Caenorhabditis elegans: one gene and its partners. The protein of the gene in region 2 interacts with the protein of the main gene of each other region in a pairwise test. Each region holds a gene or a part of one and is shown on either strand. Other genes may lie near its edges. The genes, in order: vpr-1, vab-9, exp-2 and C15H9.4.

Evidence for each region.
Region 1: the proteins of vab-9 (region 2) and vpr-1 interact in a two-hybrid assay, tested with the Caenorhabditis elegans proteins (one large-scale study listed by BioGRID).
Region 3: the proteins of vab-9 (region 2) and exp-2 interact in a two-hybrid assay, tested with the Caenorhabditis elegans proteins (one large-scale study listed by BioGRID).
Region 4: the proteins of vab-9 (region 2) and C15H9.4 interact in a two-hybrid assay, tested with the Caenorhabditis elegans proteins (one large-scale study listed by BioGRID).

The regions. Positions count from the first base shown.
Region 1 is NC_003279.8:5,867,262-5,872,407, forward strand, and holds vpr-1 (Major sperm protein), read right to left. Parts: upstream 2,694-5,146; 5' UTR 2,687-2,693; coding exon 2,512-2,686; intron 2,354-2,511; coding exon 2,068-2,353; intron 1,977-2,067; coding exon 1,829-1,976; intron 1,743-1,828; coding exon 1,614-1,742; 3' UTR 1,005-1,613; downstream 1-1,004. Other genes in the region: F33D11.10 (RNA helicase), read right to left, coding at 1-484, 533-868; cdc-7 (non-specific serine/threonine protein kinase), read left to right, coding at 4,924-5,032.
Region 2 is NC_003280.10:8,635,300-8,639,979, forward strand, and holds vab-9 (Transmembrane protein 47), read right to left. Parts: upstream 2,413-4,680; 5' UTR 2,374-2,412; coding exon 2,317-2,373; intron 2,136-2,316; coding exon 1,940-2,135; intron 1,861-1,939; coding exon 1,711-1,860; intron 1,422-1,710; coding exon 1,189-1,421; 3' UTR 934-1,188; downstream 1-933.
Region 3 is NC_003283.11:6,138,865-6,144,382, reverse strand, and holds exp-2 (BTB domain-containing protein), read right to left. Parts: upstream 3,374-5,518; coding exon 3,327-3,373; intron 3,273-3,326; exon of another isoform or gene 3,057-3,272; intron 2,913-3,056; coding exon 2,889-2,912; intron 2,675-2,888; coding exon 2,395-2,674; intron 2,335-2,394; coding exon 2,221-2,334; intron 2,171-2,220; coding exon 2,051-2,170; intron 2,006-2,050; coding exon 1,832-2,005; intron 1,784-1,831; coding exon 1,192-1,783; intron 1,145-1,191; coding exon 963-1,144; downstream 1-962. Other genes in the region: ttn-1 (Titin homolog), read left to right, coding at 1-23, 203-361.
Region 4 is NC_003284.9:6,095,387-6,100,942, reverse strand, and holds the start of C15H9.4 (Transmembrane and coiled-coil domains protein 2), read right to left. Parts: upstream 3,301-5,556; 5' UTR 3,231-3,300; intron 1-3,230. Other genes in the region: C15H9.5 (GOST seven transmembrane domain-containing protein), read right to left, coding at 4,005-4,038, 4,095-4,202, 4,267-4,478, 4,958-5,099, 5,336-5,466, 5,512-5,556.

The DNA of each region.
Region 1 (5,146 bases), on a different chromosome or scaffold from region 2:
TATTACAGAATAGTACAGCCTGTGTGATGGTAAGAGTATCATAAAGATCAATAAGAGTGTCGAACTTCCATTCTTCTCTGTCAACTGCAACGAAGAATTGCTTGATTCCTTCAAGTGTCAGTTCATCACGTTTCACAAGAATTCTGATAGGATCTGTCATGAATTTACTGGTCATCTCTAGAATTTCATGAGGCAGTGTGGCTGACAGAAGTACGACTTGTGCTCCAGGTGGAAGATATCGGTAGATATCGTACAACTGCTCCTTGAAACCTTTATTCAGCATTTCATCGGCTTCGTCAAGAACCAGAAGCTTGATCGCTCGGGTACGAAGATTACGACGGCGAATCATATCAAATACTCGTCCTGGAGTACCAGAAACCACGTGTTGACCGTAATCCAATTTGCGAATGTCTTCTCCGAGATTTGTTCCTCCGATACAGGCATGACATTGAACATTCATATAGTCTCCGAGAGCAAGAACTACCTGCAAAATGTGTTTTTTATTGCAACTCTGTATTTATTATATCCATACTTTTTGAATCTGGACAGCCAATTCTCTGGTTGGAGAAAGAATAAGTGCTTGTGTCTCTCGAACTTGTGTATCCAATGATTGAAGAACGGAAATTGAAAAAGTCGCAGTCTTTCCGGTTCCAGATTGAGCTTGAGCAATGACGTCACGTGCTTTAAGAATTGCTGGAACTGCTCTTTGTTGAATAGCCGATGGTTTTTCGAATCCATAGGCATAAATTCCACGAAGAAGGTCTTCTCGCAAACCCATTTTGTCAAATGTTGGAATAACATTTACTTCTTCAGAAGATTCGAATTCCACTGTTGCCATATCATCTTTTTCTGCTTTTTTACCAGCCATTTTGGAAAATCTGAAAAAAGATTAATTTTAAACATCACTCGAGTGACATTTTATTGTCGAGTCGCGTAAATTTCCAGGTAAATACTCCGAGATAATACGGCGAAAAAATTCAAAAATAAAAATAGTTATTGGAAACCATAAACATCAAATTTTATTGTACCATATACAAATCATGTGACTTAAATTGGTTGTTTCAAAGAGCATGGGGCTTTCTTAAAATCCATGGAGTCCTATATCAATCAATGGTTGTACACATAAAATAAATGAGAAAAGGTTGGGGGAACGGGGAACCATAGAATGGAAAATAAATAAATAAAATTCTTGATAATGGCTACCGGGTATGATGATAGGCAGTCACTAGACGGATCTATGATGGTCTAGAAGACGCCGGGAAAAACGGAAAACGAATAAACAAAGGAAAGAAGTGAAAGTAGTTTGAGAAAAAGTTTGAAATTTTTGCGCGCTGCGTTCACTAAAGAGGCAAGTATTCAAAATTTCAAAAAACCGAAAAGTTAAATATGTCAATTTACATTGCAGAAAATAACATTTTGATTTTTGAAATATTCAGAATTTCGCCCTTGGCAGAGAAAAAGTTAGAAAATTTAGGATTTGAAGGTTAAATTTGATGAAAATCCGAATGGAGCAATGCTTGTGTGTTTTAATGTTTGTGGCAGCAAAAAAGCACGTGAATGATAGTACCACTAGTTACTTAAAAGTGAAAATGAAGGAAGAATTGATTCAGAATTTAGAAAAGACGGCCAACAATAAGCCCGATGAGCAAAGCGGCAACCGCAATAAGGAAAATTTGCAATGTTGGGTATGCACCGTCGACAAGAGCTCCATCAGAATGCGATTGTTGAAGCTTGCGGTTCTTCTGAAAATATTTTTTGTAGAAAATTGAACACATATTTTTTTTTCCAAAGTGTAATTAATTTTTTCAAATTTCTTTTCTGATATTACCTTGAGCATGACTTCGATTTCTTGTTCCAATCCATGTACTTTCTTTTGCAATTCTTCTTTCTCGTCAACTGTCGATTTCAACGATTTGCGAAGGGAGTTAACGGTTCCATCATGCGATGGTGTTCCAGAGTACGAACTTCCGAGCTCTCTGCAAATATTAGTTTTTTATTGAATGAAGTTTATGAAGGAAACAATAATTGTTAACCTTCTTTTAACCTCCATTATAAGTAAAAACTCACTGTGCCTGTCCAGAAGAAGCAAAACTATCCTCGTTCCTAACCGCAAAGGTTTTTGTATCATCTCCAGACGCTGGATCTCTCTTGTCAACGAAGGTGACCATAAGCTTGCTGTAGGTCAGCTCCGCTGGATCGATTATTTTCCAGACCGATTCCAAATCTGGCAGATCTTCCGAAGGCGCCACACACGATTGAACCATAAACTTATGTCGTCCTGCATCAGATGGAATTCCTTCCAGAGGTTGAAGCATTACTGTGATTTGTTTCGAGTCACCAGATTTCAGGAGGCCTAAAAAATCAAAATCAGAAGGTCAAAGTAAACTTCAGTTTTAAAAATCAACCAGTCTAACAGATAAGGTCTAAATACAAATCATATTTTTCTTTTTGCGTTTAATTTCACTTTTTCCATATCAAATTGATTTCAATGCAAATAAATCCATCACTCACCAGAATTTGGACGAACACAATATTGCTTTGGAGCCGTTGTTTTCACTTTGAAGCACACTGGATTGGTTGATGTGTTCTTGAGAGTCATGTGTGATGTGACAACATCACTGAATGGGCCAGTGAACACGAGTTCACGATTTGGAGTCACTTGCAGAAGACTGTGCTTTTCAGACATTTTTTTGCTGAAAAAAAAAGTTAGTTCATATAAAATAATTATGTTAAAAAATAAAGATTGATAGGAAGTTTGGATCAAGGCGAAAGAATTAAAAATTGTTTTTTTTCTATTGGTATTTACGTACATCACAAAACCGAACACTAAACGAATATTTTTTCGATTTGCAATTTCGAAAAAGCTATAAAATGAAAAAGTCGCAGTGTATGTTCTAGCGTTATCAGTTTCTCTTGAGTTTTGGCCAGTGCTTAGTGCCTAGAGGCAAGCGTATTTGCTCTTGGCAAAACGAAAAACGAAAAAAAAATCGAAATCGTGTAGAAGTTATACAAATGCTTGTCTATCTTTCTAAATACAGTCTTCAATAATCTTGAATTTGAAATTTGAAAAAAATATGGACGAGTGTATTCAACACAGGTCATAAACAAAATTTAAACAGAAAGGCATCAAAAACGTTGTTCAGCCAGTAATTGAACGTTTGTCAATTGATAATCGGGGAGAGAAAAGTAGAGATGCAACTGATGGATGACCCGATACATGAAAAACACAACAAAAAAATAATATTATTTCCTATATTTTAACAACGAATAAGTCCAAAACTGCACAGTATTGAACAAAGGTTGAACCAATTCGAGAAAATAACAAATTATATTGAAAAATTATTCTGAAACGCTGTCAGATGACATGAATTCGGGTGAGACGTGGAGAGCGCACACGTTTTTCAAAAAATGTTGTCCTGAGAGATGCGTAAGAGATAATAGACGCAGAAGGAAAAGTGTATCTACGTCTCTTCCCTCTCGTTGACTTATAATTCGAGTGTGTGAGTGTACGTGTGAGCGATGTGTGTGTGTGCGTTTGGTAGGGGAGGACGAGTGTGAGCGAAAATGGCTGTCCTGGAGAAGGAGAAACACGTTGTTGGAGACGAAAGAGGCACCGAAAAAACACAAGCATCGTGAAGAAAAAACGATGGGATAAGAGAAGAAGATGGAATAAATTAGGATGAGATGTTTGCTGGTAGAATGTGCAAAATGCACTCAGAGAAGATTAAGCTAAGGCAGTTCTATGCAATAAAATCTTAATTTTTGTATTCCCCAGGAGCCTATAAATTAACCTCCAAGTCAAAACAACAGACAATTGAACCTTTTTTTGAAAAACGAGAAGAGCTGCAGTTTAGAAATGTTCGATATTTAAAATTTCACTCTGATTGAAATCATTATTTGAGCTCATTTATGAAAAAGATTGAGACGGAAATTGAAAAAGTTGAGTTAATAGCCTTATGCGTCAGCGGAAGATTTGATCCATATGAAGAATATTAACAAGTCGCAGTATGTATATCTGATGAAGCTAGAAACAGAAGACTTTTAGAATGAAAAAGACGTCCTCTTCTGCGTAAACAAAGTGCAAAGGACGGCGAATTTGAATGGAAGAGAGAGAGTGCAGACGCAATTAGAGCACCTCGGCTTGGTACTGCTTTAGACTTAGTTTCTCTGTTTTCCTGCCGTCCGGATGTGAGAACTCTCCATGACAACACAGATATTTCCCGTATCACACACTCATCGGAAACATAAGAGGGGGAGAAGGACAACTGGCTCCAACTATCAATCAATCGGGGTTATTTACACAATGATTTTTGTTCTTTTAATGTGCTAATAGAAGAAATATACACAAACACATGGAAGTAATATTGGGGAATTTGCACTTTTCTAGAAAATTAAAACTTGAAGTTTCAGGCTGAGCAAAAATAGCTCAAATAACTCGAAAAAAACTCAGTGAATAACTATTTTTATAACCAGGTTATAGACTAGGCGAAAAGGTACAGAGAGAAGAAAAGTCCGAATTTGTGAAAAATCCCTATTATTCACCAAAAAACAATCTATTTCACTTTTTAGGAGCTTCGACATGTATTGTACACGAATAGCAACATATTTTTGCAAAATACGTCTCAATAAATATTTTTCAGCTAGATATTACAGCATTTTCAAACGGAAAACCAAAAAAATCAAAAGAAAAAGCTAAATTTAAAAATATGTTGCATGTGGCAATGCGCGTAAGCTTCGCCGTAACGTACGCAAACACCGCGCCTGTTTTTGGCGCAAAATTTGAAACACATTTTTTGCATTTCTCAATTTCAACGTTTATTTTTTCTCTGAATCACTTCTCGCTATTTAGTGTCTTTTTTTAAAGAAGGAAATCAACATTATTCCGTTTTGAACAGTAAAACCTTTATTTCAGACTGAAATTTCATGTCCATAAAATCGTCACGGCTGAAAATTTGGGAAGAGAACTGCCCGGTGCTTAGCGATGCAAAATTCCAGAGAAAGTATCAATTGCAAGAGAATATTATAGGCGAGGGTACGTTTCCAGCTGAAAATTTTCAGCTGTGTGCAATATGAAATTATTATAAGCTACGAAATAGATTGAAGTTAAAGCAAAAACGCTAGAAAACAAACTTCTAATCAGAATTTT
Region 2 (4,680 bases):
TCTACAGTAACCTACCTGTTCTCCATTTTCTACCACTTTCCCGTTTTTGCCTACTCACTCTAATCTCTTTTCTCTTTCCCAACCTAATCCATTTTTTGCCGTAACTTTTCTTCACATAATCATCTATCTATGTGACGCAATAACTTGTTACATGATTTCCGTGGTCAGTTCAGAATAGATTTCCGTCACTGGTGGAACAGATTAGGCACGGATTTAGAAGAAGAAGCTGCGATGCTTTTGAAACTTTTGAATCAACAACGACGGAAAGTAAGAAGAATGGCATCTCATTATACTTTTAAACAAGAATTTTCGGATCATCATCGTTGTCGTCACTTTTTTCAGAACTATGTGAGGAAATAGGAGGCAGGAAAATAGAAGATTAAGAGGTGTAATATTGGATGGAAAAAATTAATTAGAAATTCCAGTCAAACTTTAAACCTTTTTGTTAGTTAACAGGTTCAAGAGAGGCACATTTTTTTGTTGCGAATTTAAAATGAAAATGTTTCCCGATCACGAGAAATTTCTTAAGTTTCGAGAGTATATTTTAGTGAGTTATCAAGTGAGCAAACTTTATTTTATTTCAAAAAAAGACAACATTTTTTCTTTGAAAAGGGTAGCTGCTAAAATTGAAATTGCGTTCGAAGATTTTTCATAAATTGCAGCAGTCAATTTAATGTTTATAGCTTGGCATTTAAGGGTTACTCTCTGGCAACATCTTGGAAACTTATTGGAAACTGCTCAAATAGGTTTTCATGTTACTGACAGAAAATTATCTGAACAGCTCATTGTTTGATATAAAGCTTTGGGAGAAAGTTCTGCTCAGAGCCGAGAATTTTATATATATTATTCGTTTCTTTGCGCATACTGCGCGTCAGGGTCTCGGGGTATCTTGTCCCGCTCATAAACGAGCCGGAGCTTTACATAAACCGGGTTGGATATTATAGAAGTTTTATTCTTGAAATTAAAATTCTTCATAAAAAACAAGGGAAGAAAAGATCACCGATAGAAAATGCACGGCATCGTAACAAGGTTGATGGGAGAAAAAATAAAATTATGTACAGAAAAAATTAATATTATTCGGATCGGATTGAGAAATACACGTTTCGAGGAGTTGAGGTGACTTTTTTCAAATGGAAAGTCGTTTAAAAATTTTCAAAAAAAAAAAATTTTAAAGTTCAAAAAATTAGACTATCGGTCGGAGAGCTCTGGTGGTGGATTGTAGATAGTTTTTTCTTTATAATAAACTTCTTCGTGTTCCTTATCACAAATCAGCATAATCGTTGCACCAATTGTAAAAAGTGTTGCTCCCCATGCAATACCATATGACCAATCAACTTCCCAGTTCCTGCGGCTACCGTAGTCACTTATTTTTACGTAGAATGCAGCTGGGAACATAATCAAAGCGGTCAATTCCAGTAGAACTGAAATTATTCGTAAATTAAGTTTTTTGTGATTTCTTTATTTTTTTTTTGTTTGCACTGATTAGCATTTAGGCCTAATTTTATTCAAAATTTCAAAGTTTGAATAAACATTTTGAAAAATACAATATCTGCCTAGTTCGGATTTTAATTGAAATAATTATTATATTACAGACAAATTGAATTTTTAAAAATTCAGTGACGGTCATTAAAATTTCATTATGTCGCTTTGAAATTATACCAATTTGATTAATTTGCAAAAAAAAAAAAAAAAAAACTCTGAAAAACTCACCAGAAAATCCAGAAATCATTGTCGCAATTCGGTACCATCGATATTTTCCACGGACATCTGATTTGCTGAGTCCAACAATATTGAAAATGGTAGAAAGTGCAGTGAGGAATAGAGCAACAATGAGAAGAACAGCTGCTGCGGTAAGGAATCCTGAAAAATAATGGAAATTGAAACTTTTTCTGGTACTGTTAGAATCTAATTGAAGAGTTTCAAAAGCTTTCTGACTCACCAGAATTCCTCGATGGCTTGTGACATGAACCAGGAGCAGGTGCACCAGGGAATGGAGCAGCATGAGTTGGCTCATTTGTTGATGTGCATTCTTTGAAGAGACCCGTTCTGAATGATCCTGTCTTGAGCCAAGAAGTTGAGCAAAGAGCAACAATCATGAGACCCACAGCAATGACTAGGCATATTAAGGAGATTATCTGGAAAATGGTCCATGGAGATAAATTATTAAAAATTTAAAAGTTCTTGTAACTCCTCTTTTTTTAGTTTCTAATCTTTGAAAAAATCATCATAAAATTATCATAATTATAATAGTAAGTTTTATATAATGAAAATATGTTTACTTAGTATAGGGTTATATAAATGTTTCAAACGACTTACTTTAAGAGGCCTAACTGCTGAAACGGCCTCAATGGTAGTTCGTTGGACTGCTACCATTTTGTCCCTTGAAGAGGATCTCTCGATGTCGGGAATTCTGAAATCACAACATTATAATTTCGGCAAAAAACTATATAGTGTAACTATTTTAAAAGTTTTGTTGAGTACTACAAGTTGTAAAGAGAGCAAGAAAGAGAGGAGAAAAATAAGAGTCTCAAGTGAGAGAGTTAGAGAGATAGAGAAAAAGAGAGAAGCTCTGGTATAATCGGCTAACTAGTTTTCACCACGAAACACTTCTTTTTTTTCGTTTGACGACCCGACAAATATTTATTTATAAACGCACAATATTATAACTGTCACACCAAAGCAAATGTGAATGTTAGAAAAAAGAGAAAAAGAAAAAAAACCAAGTAGTCGATGCTATCTAAATTGAATAAATGAGAGTGCGAAGAAATGAGAGTTTATTTTTTTTTTCTTTTTTTTTGCCTATAAACATTCTGAATATTCTAGAAGAGTGAGAAAATATTCAACTTTTTTGTGAGTGTGCGTGTTTTTTTTTATTATTTAAAAATTGATCGATAAAAATACCAAAAACTTTAGGAATCCTAGAACCGGAAAAATAAGAACACGGTGAGCACCAAGAGAGCACACTCTTGAAAATAGTTGGAAGATGCAAAGAAGGAGAGAGGAAATAAGAAAGAGATGGAAGGTGTATTGAATTTCAGTGCGCATTCCAATACACGCGCACACACCAGTTTGTGTGGTGCTTCTCCTGAATTTTGTATAGTTGGAAATCGAGAGTCTGTTTTTGCAGAATGAATGAAAACAAGGATGGATCGGTTGGAAGAATTTGGCACGACTAGAAAATGAGCATTGAAAAGTTGTGCTCTATTAAAATAAACTTTTTAACCAAAAGGTTGATTTGAAAAATGTTCAGAACACTGACTCAAATCACACCTAACTGTCATCCAGTTGTAAAAAAAAATAGTTTCGTGGTAGAGATCGGGGGAAGCTGTGGAGACGGAGGATGAGTTGTGAGTTATTATTACAAGTTGCGAAAATGTGAAAAGGAGGAGAAGTAGGACCGGAACAGCTGGGTTTATGAGAAGAAGGACAAGAAAGAGCAGAAGTCAACAAAAGAAAATTAGAAACTGGGAAAGAAGATAGAAGAGCTTGAACTTCAAACATTTTGAAACGAACTTTTCAACAAATTGAAGTTTACATATTTCTAAAGAGTCTTTTACAGAAAAAGATTTGAGCTTAAAATTCTGGATTTTTGATGTTCAAGTTGTGTTATTGGAACACTCAAAAATAATGTGAACGAGGAGAATGCATCGAGTGTTGAGTTACAAAATATGTTTTGTTACAAATGAAATGGGGAAGAGAGGCAACCGAATGAAAAACAGCTGGACACACTAAACATGAGAAGTGGCACGCAGTTAAGATGAAAGTTTAACAGGTTGGAGAACCAATGGATACGAGTGAGAGAGGCTTCATTTTTAAAATTACTTTTTATGATTGATGATAAAATTTATAAGGCTGCCGATGATCACTTTAAAAAATCAATAAGAAAGCTGAAACGGGGCCAATGGTTTGAAAATGAAAGAAGCACGCTTTCACTTCAAAAAAAAACAGCCTCCTAGTCGTTCACCAAGCATGCAAATGCCGTTAGTATTTGTGTATTTGTGCATGCCTTTGTGTGCTCTTCAAATTTTGAGCCTCGAACAACCATCAAACAAAAAAGAGCCGACAAGCACCCTTTCTCAGATGTTACCGAAAAAACAAAATGGCAAATGATTTGAAATGTTTTGCAAATGCAAGAGTTTTTGAACAGGATTTTAAACATTTGAAAAATCAAGAGATATTGGTACGTGATGAGTGCGAAAAAGTGTTCGTGGGAGGAGTGAATGGTGGGAGCCCGATGAGAATTCAGTGTAAAATGAAGAGATATTTTTAGAGGAACAAAGTGAAAAAGCAGTGGAAAAAGATAGATCTTGGCGATATACTAAATGTGTGATGTGATGTGATAATCTGGGTCAGAAGATGGAGTATTGGGTGCCAATTGGATGATAAATGGCTTTTCAAATGAGCAGTTTGAGGTTTTTGCATTTGAATTAATAAAGTTTCTGAAAGTTATCTGCAGAGTGGCTCTGTCTCAATTACTGATATTTCCACCCAAAACACGACAAATACCATCGTACAATCCCAAAAAGGTACACATTTTGAAGCGCGGAGCGATGTGTCATAAAGCAGTGAAAGAGGAACAATGGATAGTGACACATTGCATTGCACTCACAGGTTGCGTTGAATTTTCGAACCGCCCGTAAATGCGCAATGTTCATTCAAATTGGTGGTTGGATATGTGGG
Region 3 (5,518 bases), on a different chromosome or scaffold from region 2:
AGAGATGAGAGAAGATGATGAAGGTATGATGTTAAAACTGAAATACACATTCATCTTGTGTCATACAAATGTTCAAAAGAGGGTTGAAATAAAGTAACCGGAAACCTGACCCTTCAATGCCAGAATGCTTCTGTCACTCCAAAATTTGAATATTGCTTTTCTCTCGTTTTCTCAATCTCTTTTCACTTATGAACGTTTTCAGGCGAATACAAGATTGTGGTCAAGAACACTGCTGGTTCAGTGGAGCACTCATGCAAGCTCACTATGGATCAACTTCCGGAGATCAATCGGGTAGATCGATATGCTTCTACACTCGTTTTCGACAAAGGAGAGACTGTGAAACTGAGGCTCTCATTCTCAGGTTAGTTAAAGAATTTTTTGGGAAAGTCGGGTTACGAATCGAACAAAGTGATAATATCAAACTTTTAATAATATTTTTATTAAAATCATTCCTTCGGACGAGAGTGATATGTTAGCTAACAACAAAAATCCAGGTGGGTCTTGGGAGAGGAAATGGCCTAATGTCTTTTTCGAGTTTTTTTTCTAGCGTGTTCTTCTCTGTGTTTTCACATGGGGAAATGGGGAAATGGATGGAGTGTGTAAAGCGGCTTTGAATCAAAAAATATGCCAAGAGAAATTGGAATCTTCTTCTTTTTTACTTTATAGTCAGATGCCGTCAAGACTTTTTGAAAAAAGTTGAAGAGAGTGAGAGAGTGGGGGAGAGATAAAGTAGGAGAAAGTGCACTGGAGGAGTTTCCCGTTGAAATTGGATTGGTTTTCTTTTTCAATAATATTTTTAGATTCGGAAATAATGATAGTAACCATAATAGAAAATTTAGAAAAAATATAAATTTATGAAAATAAAATAACAAAACCAATATACTCACTTAAGTTTGATAAAACATATAGAACTTCGGGGGAAACATTTACTCGTAACATTAATCATTGAAATAATTTGTATACTAGTCATGGGCATTGAGCATGGCTTCCAACGCGAGTTGCTCGCTTTGCTGGTCATTTTTCTGTTGCTCCGCTTGTTGTTCATCTTGAGCCACTTTGATGAAGTTGTCGACAATGATAGTAATGGGCAGAGCAAGTACAAGTACTCCGCACATAATTGCTGCTGATGCAATGATTTTCCCCACTGAAATTAAATTCAATTAGAACCCACAAATAGGGGAAAGAACTCACTAGTAGTTGCGGGAACAGCATCTCCATATCCTACAGTTGTCATTGTTACTATACACCACCAATATGCCGCCGGAATACTTGTGAACGGTGTTCCTTCCTCGTCTTTTTCCAAGAAATAAATCATGGTTGAAAAGAATACAACTCCAGTCAGAAGTACAATTGTCATCATTTGTAGTTGTTTTTGTGATCTTTGAAGTGTCATTCCGAATGTTTGGAGTCCCGATGAGAACCTTCCCAATTTGATAATTCTGATAACTCGAAGAACTCGAAGAATCCGAACAACAAGGAAAGCCCATCGTAGATCTCTTAATTTCCTGTCATCAACTCCGCATAATGTCAGAAGCAATTCCAAGTAGAATGGAACAATAGCAAGTAAATCGACAAGGTTCAGCGGTTTCAGCGCAAATCTTAATTTCCGTGGTGCGGCGAAAAACCGGAGGCAATATTCGACAGTGAAAAATGCAATGCATATCCGTTCCGTGAACACAAACGCCGGATGTTCCACTCTCATTTGCTCAACTTTTTGAACAACCGTTACAGTTCCATTCGGTAACACTACTGTTTCATTATGAGGAGGCATAAGATGAGTAACCTGAATATTTGAATGCTTAACCAAATTATTAGAAAGTTAAATACTTACTTGAAAATCTGGAATAGTTCCAAAAGAAAGTCCCATAACTGAAATTGCTACAAAAAGAGTCGATGACAACTCAAATGCCTTTGCTTGCATTGAAGAGCCAGGCCGTTCGAGAAAAGTCCACATCCTCCTCCGTAACTTTCCGCACATCAACTTATCGAAGGTGGTATCATCTACCTTAAAACAAATTTTTCTTTAATTTGTGATATACAGATGATTTACTTTTTCTTCTTCTTTCTCTTCTTCCCGTTTTTGGGGGATAATATCGGCGCAACAAGATCCAACATGTTGATGGGATATCCTCCAAAAGTCGAGCTCACTTAGAAACGAAGCTGGACAAATCTAAAATTTTAAAAAAGTAGATATTTTCCACTTCACTTCCTAATATTCACCTCAGATGGTCGATGCACCACTCCTGTTGCATAGTATTGAAACACAGCTTCAAAGGAAGTAGGTGATCGTTGGAAATAGTAAGCATCATCAGCGGAAATATAGGCATCCGCAACCTAAATAAAAGAGAAATAGATTGATGATATGATGAGATTATCCCCCAGTTTTTAGCTCACTTTTAATCTAGCTGTGTGTGTGAGTTGGACAAACCGCGAGAGAAAAGTAGTTGTGTCTGCGCGGAGAATCGCGTCGATTAGAATCATAAAGCTTGTGCCTCCAATATTTAGCTTCAAAAACTGTGGGCTTCCGTTATCCGCTGAACTGACTTGTTGGAAACAATCGGATGCTCCAGATCGAAAAATATCGTCTAGAATCTGATAGTTTCGACGTTCCGCCACTGTCATTGCATCAGTCCGACGCAGCGGGACTAGCCGCTTTTTGTGCTGCTGTGCGGCCCTGAAAATTGGAGGATTAGAATTTTAGAACAAAAGATCAAAGTGCATCACACCCGTTGATATCTTGGTCTAGAGTTCAGTTTTAGTGACAGGGAAGGAAAAGCTAATATATCAAACATCACAACATAAGCATCATGCATGAAAAGAGAAACACGATCGATACAATCCGATCTTTAGTTAGATTGATAGTCATGGCATTAAAAATCACAACTTACCCGCTGATCATGTTTCCGGTTACCCTGTAATTATGGAATTTGAGTTGCTCCGTCGAGCCAGGGACCGTAAATGTTGCTGCAGAATTTCGATGCGCTAGAACCGCTTGCGATATTGCAATCGCCATTTTGCAACTTCAGTTTTAGCGCGTGAAGTGTTTTTTTTTCAGTAGTTTTCAGCAGTGTTCAGAGTAGGTTTAGGAGAAGTAGAAGAGAGGTGTCATCACACGTGTGTGTGCGTGACAAGATGAGAGGTGTCAAGGATGATGAGAATTGGACTGACACATTTAAAGTGAAGCTATTTTTTTTTTCCACTAAGATAAGAAAAGGAAGAAGAGAAAACAGAACTAATAGATAGATTGAGAAGATGTGATGAGGATGCGTGACGTGAATCTATGATGATGTTAGAAGCTTCCGGTATGCTTTGATAGAAAAACTTACTGTCCATTATATGCCAGCGCCGAGTAAGAAATACTTGCACATGCCATTGTGGTATCTAATACTTCAGACGTCCGACCCCAGGAACACCAGTTGATAAATAACAGGTGATAAGAAAAGGTCCTTCTAGTTTTTCTTTTTTATGAGCACTGGCAGCTGGGATGGGGCTCCACTGAGGGCAGGTGTGAAGATATGAAGGATCGGCACAGAGAGTGAGAATGAGAGAGGATTGACAGCAGGTGGCCGAATTGACGCCTTGCTTCTCTTTTTCTTCGTCGCGTGGGAAACCGCGCTGGGCGCTCAAAGCTTACCGGAGGGAGCACGGTGCTTATAGAGGGAAAAGATATGCAGGTGAGGTAGTGAGAGAATGAGATAGATACGACGGAATTCGTCTGTTTCTCTTCAATTCACTGCTACATATATATGTGTAGTATTAGCAACCAAATATGAGCGAGTTGTCGATGAAGACGGCGGCAAAGACGACGAAGACGAAAAGCAACCAAATTTGTGGTTTTGGTCTCGGGTGCCCCGTTTTTCGGCATCTATTTTATCTACTTACTGGAAGGGAGGAAAAGCAACATGATTGATTTACGGTGATGACTCTCATGACTCTCTAGACTGGAATTTCTAGAATATAAAATGAATCGGGATGAACATTCAACACGCTAGCAATTGAATCAAGAAACAAAGTGGAGCTTCGAAAGATATCTGCCTTCTTTCATCCAATCAATTGAAAAACCAAAAAACATATGTTTTCAATTGCGGTGAAAAATTCTCATATTCTCTTATTCTCCACATCGATGGAACACTATAAAAATCGAGTAAAATTGAGATTCATGTATGACAAATTTTGTTGCTCACGTAGGATTTTAGGAGCGAAAGTAAACACAGTGATAGGGGGCCGAAGAGGATGATCTGTCGGTAAGGTACACTTGTAGGTTTACATTGTGAAAATGATAGGTATTGTTTGCCAGAGACAATGTGCGGAAAAGAATGTAAGAGTGATAAAAAAGAGTATAGAATTGGCTCTCTAATTTGATATGGTCTGACCTACACTAAATCTTCGTATTCAATTTTTTCAGAAAATTATTTGCTACCAAAAAATAATATTGAGTATGACCTACCTGGCCTGAGCCATTTTCATTCTCACAACCGAACGCCAGAACAATAATCTAAAAGTCGAATTCTTCTCTGGCAGTTGGTTTTTTGTTTTGCTTTTTGCATATGGACCCGTTTAGCACCTCTTCTCCGAGTCTCCATCCCTGTGTAACCTCAAGCCTACTCGATTATAAATTTTCTTCCACTAGACCGCTTCTAAATATTTCTCACTAGCAAAGATCGAAAAAGAGAACTAACGACAAAAAAAAAAGAGTGTGAGGGTGGAAATTCGAGCAAAATGTCAAAATATATCTGGCTCCACGGGTTCTGGAGGAATCATTTGACCACTGTGAGTACCACTTGAGAATTGTTTCGTTTACTTGCCCAGAGCCACAAGAATTTAGTCTAAAAATGCAAAAACCTATTCAATTCTCGAATTGAAAAAGTTCCCGTGATCTTTGTTCCCTCGTTGAGACGGTCGAGGATAGAAAACGAGAAAAAAACACAACACGGGAGGAGAAGCTTGAGATGAACTCTGCCAACATAATCATTTGAGCATACAACAAATGAGGAGCTCATTCGGTCTTTTTTGCTTGCAAGTAACTAATTCTTTATGAAACTTTATAACGAAACAAAACTTACACAGAGAAAATTGAATCCATTCAGTGGATCAGCATGTTAAAAAAAAAGTTTAGCTCAGATTAACTGAATGGTTCACCAAGGGTTATTAGGATATAAGAAACTAGAAGAAACAGAACATAGTGCAGCTGAAGGCATTTGGAATGGGGGGTCGCCCCTCGCAGAAAAACGGAAAAGAATGAGGATTTCATATGGATGAACGGCTACCAATTGTTGCTAACAAGCTCTTAACTCGTAATCCACATCACATTTTCTCCAAAAAGTAGACTGGGTCAGAATAGAAATCGGGAAGAAAACGTTGCAAGATATGTGTGCAAGATACAGATAGCCAATGAGCAAATAATGTTGTAGTTAATTTTAGATTAAGGGTGAAAGTTACCTATGTCAATTTTTAAGTGGTTTAGAACTATTTCCTTTAATGTTTTTAAAAGAAAATGCAACTTTAATGCCCATAAAAT
Region 4 (5,556 bases), on a different chromosome or scaffold from region 2:
AGGCCTATCGACTCTTATCAAACTTTTTCTCTAAAAGTCGGAGAATTTCGTTGAATTTCTTATCGGTATAATGAAGTTTGGAATATATAGTTGTGTAATATTATGTACATACCTTTCCTACATACCCATCATTCATCATTCGAATGACTATAAAAACAGTAAAATCGAACAAGATTTGGTTTTTTTTTTCTTTCTTAATACGACAATACAATATGATTTATGTATTTGTCCTTGTGAAAATTGTGATGGATGGAATACAAATTATTTACCAAGGAATTTAATGAGAAACATGTCAAATGATTTAAAATATAAACGTAAATTATAACCACCAACTAAATAGTTTTCTAACAATTGGTCATTTCAAAGTGGCTGAGTCACTGTATCACGAGGTGTGAGTGGAACTTTTTTTCTGAACATTTTGAAAATAAAAGAATGTATGTCTCATCCGACGCCATTATATTAATTTTTCATCGATTGAAAAATGTGGAAATGGGGAAAAATGGTTAAACATGTAGAATGCACTCTGGAACTTTGTGCTATTACAAAATTTAAACAAAAATGTTGAGATCGAAATATTTCAGCTTGAAAAAGTCTGAAGAGGCGGGAAATCAATTTCACGTATTTTGTTTGGACTGTAAAGACGCTCTATTATTAGTTTTAGACGGTTTGTTATACTTTTTAACATTAAAACTAAAACTTGAAAGAAATTTAGAAAAAGTATGCAAAACAAATAAGGACTTGCTTTTATTTTTTTTTTGAAATTCCTATTCATTTTTGCTATGACCTAAAATATTTATATAGTTACATGATTTATAATATATGATGACCAAATATGATAATAGAACTTATCAAAAAACTTTGGACAAAATCTTATTTCGAGTCAGAAGCGGTAAAAAGTTATAATCTCTACAATGCGGAAATTATTGAATATAAGTATTTTGAATATAATCAAAGCACAAAACTGGATGAAAAAATATTTTTGAAAAAATAAAAATAGAAAAAATATATAAATACTGAGTTTTCACAGCTTTTTTACTCAAAATAAAAAACATTTTCAAAATTTTTTTAAAGTTTTATTATGATATTTGGTTATTTTATAAAAAATATATTAAATTCATTTGCTACAAAAAATGTTTTTTGGAAAAAAAACATACAAAATTTGTTCAGCAAGAATTTGCGCGGGTATTCAAATTTTGAGAAAAAAATCCGGTTAATTATTTGCACTTATTACGACAAAGTTTAAAACCCAGTAGTTCATTCTCCAGTAAATTTTCAATTCACATCACTATTTCGTAAAGGGAGCTGTGAACGTAATTAATCGACTTTTTGAAACATTAAATTGGCAAATAAAAGGAATATAGTTATGTTTGCCCAAAAGAAATCAAAATAACAAATTGAGGGCACAACTAAACGTAGAAACGTTGAAGAGTATGTCAACACTTGTGGGGTAGCCTCCTCCCGAACGCGGGGGTCTAATGCGGCGCAACCGTAAAAAGTATTGAGATACACATCAACCCGAAAGGTTAGAGGTGGTAAAAATGGTCAAAAGAACAATGGTGACAAAAAGCGAGTTGACGAGAGGGGAGATATATAGGCAACCTGCTCATCTGTGAAAAAAACGATTGAAATGTTTTTCAAGGTCTTTGCACTCACACCTCACTCAAACGCGCCAAACATAATTCATGACGACGATCTATGAAGCGAAAAAGCAAAAAAAAAAGAAAATGCCTTTTGCAGTTTTTGTTCTTCTCGACAACTTTGAACTACACAGAGCAAGCAGCGGGAGAAGTGCAAGTATTCCAAAAGTATGTAAAAGCCATCCATCTATGGGGCAAGGGTTGAAAGATGAGGGAAGAAAGAAGCGGGGGGCAAGAAGACGCTTTGGTGGTGAAATAGGGGCGTCGATGTCAATCAAACCACTTTGGAAGATTGACTAAAACACTCTTTTCTTAGTCAACAGGAAATGGAAAAGAAATCGAGCGCCGCGTTTTGATTTTGCCTAGTTTCGGAAAAACACAGAAAACTGCAGGAACGCGGAAAATCAAGATCGAGGCGCGCGAAAAAACGGCTAGGCGACGAAGAGAGGATTGGCCGGACGCGAACGGACACACACACTCATTTGTACGCAAACTGTGGTCGTAATAGGTGGCAAGGTTTCAAGCTCTGAATTCTTTTTTGCAGGTACGGAAGTGGTGAACAAAAACATAAAATAGAGCAAAACTATTTCCTATTGTCCACCTTACTGTCTTATATGTAGTCAATGGAAAATTGAAAAAGCACATAAATGTCAATATACAGGGGGAGACGTTTCTCTTATCATTGCACCGTTGACCATCATAGTCGGAAATGGAGTTGTTATCAAAGGGTAAAGTTCCACTTTTTTGAGTTGATTAAAACTGGTTAATGTTTGATTAATTATGAGAACATTCTAGTGCGGTAAAACGTTTTTTCAATGAAGATCTCCCCCTATCGGATTGCAGTTCAAAATCAAAGTTTTTACATCAAGAAAAATAAAAAAGTGTGAAAATTCTATTCTACAGTTTGTAAAACAGTAATCCACACGGCCAAAAACGGCCAAAACAATGAGAGGCATATAGGAGAGGAAAAAATGTTTTTGCCTTCTAACTGAGCATTGTGATGTCTGGTGAATCAGACAGAGAAAAAGAACACAGTAAACAAGTTTCCGCGCTTCAATTAGCTCTTTTGAGATATTTTCACGCGAAAAATCAATATAAATTGATATACATCAAGTGAATGTTGAAATTGAACCATAAATCATATTGTTTTTAATAATTTAAAAATAATCATTTTGTGATTAAATTAAAAAGAAAACACTTTTCTTGCAATTTGAGGGAAACGACAGATAAAAGAGAAAAAACCATGATGATAATTAGAAAAGGAGTATAAAGAAGGAAATTATTATTTCAACATAAAAACTTTTGGAAAACTATTTTGCGCAATTAACCCAATAATAATAGCATTAATAACAAAACAAAAATGCATATAAAACCATACAAACTCGAAAAAAAATCGATAACAGCTAAGATGGATTATAAAAAGAGCAAATTGGCTCGTAAAACTAATAATCGAGCGGTATTGGCTATTGCGGTGCACAGAAAATGGCCGGATTCCGGGTGGTCGGCAGACAATGGCTAATACGCGCAGTACGCAAACACGCGCACGCAATAATGCGTACCCCCTTTCGCCATGCTTGTTCACCCCTCTCTTACCACTAGTCCTTTTAACTCGGACAGCTGTCCAATGCGGCGATCCCTCATTAGAGTTGGTTTGTCGTTCTGAATTGCATGAAATATTGTATAGATGTTGTAATATGAGGTTATATCAATGTTACAAAGGATTTTAAGTAAGGAAAAAAATCTTCTTTTCATTAATGAATTATAAGATATTGAATTCACTAGATGACCATAGAGCACACAAAGACACAGAAGGTTCAGAAAATAGTACACAATAGAATGAAAAATAATTAACAATATTTTTTTACAGGGAGTCTCGAGTTATCACATCACACGACTGGAAATTTATTGGACTAAATGTTACAACTAAAAAAGATTAGAGATGGGGAAAAGGAGGCGGAGACTAGAATTTATACACTTTGGCCAGTGTACTTTCACCTATATGTTTGAAAAAATTTAGTTCATACATCTTGAAGTTTTTAGATAATGATGATAATATTTTCTAAGGAATGATTGATATTGCAATGGAATTTGAAATTGTTTTTATCATATTTCAAAATCAGTTTCAATTTTCATCATTATCTTAAAATAGTTATATACACATTATCATGCATCTAGAAAGGACCGGTAGAAATGTTATTTGAAAAGCAAAATGTTTGAAAATAGTGAGTAGAACGCGATAGAAGTCTGGATGATCATCCTGTCCATAATAGTATTATAATCGAAACAGTTGGTTGGTTGAGTTGATAAGCCTCCCTCCGTTTGCACTGAACTCGTTGTTGTTTTTGTTGTTGTTGTAACGGATTATAATTAATCTAGCAATGATTGTTCGTAGGTTTGAGAACTGAACAAATACAGATTATTATTGAATGTTATGTATTAATACTGAAAGCCACTCACGGTTTCTTCAAAAGTTTCTGATGGGGATAGTCGGTTTGGTTGTTTGATGATTCATCTGAAACCAATCTCCTCGACACATTGGCATCTGAGTAGGCTTTTGTCAGGAATCTGCAAGATTTTCTCAACTCAAGGTTTTGATTTTTTCACAAAGATGATAAAACGAATGACTCACTGCTCATCAATTTCTTGCTCATTGTTTTCTTTATCTTTCCTATCTTCTTTCGGCGATGTCTCCACATCATAGCTATCAAAATCCGAGTTCAAGAGCAGATAATTGTGTGAATTGGCAGGCCGGAATTTGTAGCCAACGATGATGAAAAATGCGAAGGTAACCATTTCGACTGCAGCGACAATGGTCCATTGGAGGTTCACAGGCATTAAGTGCTGAACGGGAATAATTATGCACACATATGTATGATTAAAATTAGAGTAGGAGCCGGTGACGATATTGTTAGAACACGCTCCTAGGTTACCAAAAAGACCGAATATCATAGTAAATCTTTTACAAATGTTGAATTCATAGTCAAAAAGTGACATTTACTGAGATTTTGCCATTTTTTTTGGCACTGTCCCAATCTATACTTACATTGTTTAAAAACCGATGTTTGAAACATACGTAGACTATAAAATCCAAAGGTAGTTTTTTTTTTTGACCGACCACTTCAATGAAGTAGTAAAACCTGAGTAATTACCAGTTTTTGAAACGAAATATCAAAAATTTAAAAAAATTGTATAAAGTTGTACTGTGATATTTGGAATTTTGGCACCACAAAAGTGGGGTTTCAACACTTTTCCCACTGGCGCTGGCTTGAAGCTAAGAATTTTTTTTGTACATGTTTAATTGTTATAATTCTAAAACTCACGAGTAATATGAAGCCAAAAAACCTCGTGCAGTAGATGTAGACGACAACGAGAATATAAAATTGTCGAAATAAACGTAGTTTTTCCAAATTGGCTGCGGCTTTTCCATCTGTAGTGGCTCCCTCTACCAAGTGTTGAATTGACCTAAAATTTATAAAAAAATAATTAAATTTCAGTATTTCCAGTATCAGTGTTATTTTTCTATCAAAATTGGGTTATACGTATAGGATAATCTTTTTTACGAAACCTAGTACAATTTTTCTGATTAGTCAGTTTGTTCTATGTTGTTAATATTTCAAAAAACCTGTTGAATTTTAATTTCAATTTCTAGTCAAAATGATCCTCCAAATATTTTAAATAGATTTTATCTGAAATCTTACCAAACAATTGGAAAAGCGACTAATGCGCAGCAGAACAGATCCAAGATGACAAATAACTTTAGCCAAGTTTCATGATTCTGTGTTCCAATTTCACTTTCGTTGAGGATGATCAGAATGATGTTGTCGATAACCTGAAAACAAAAACATATTTGATTATTTACGATATGATGTTTTACCTGAATTGGCAAGACAAACATGAACACTTTGCGGTCTCGGTCAGT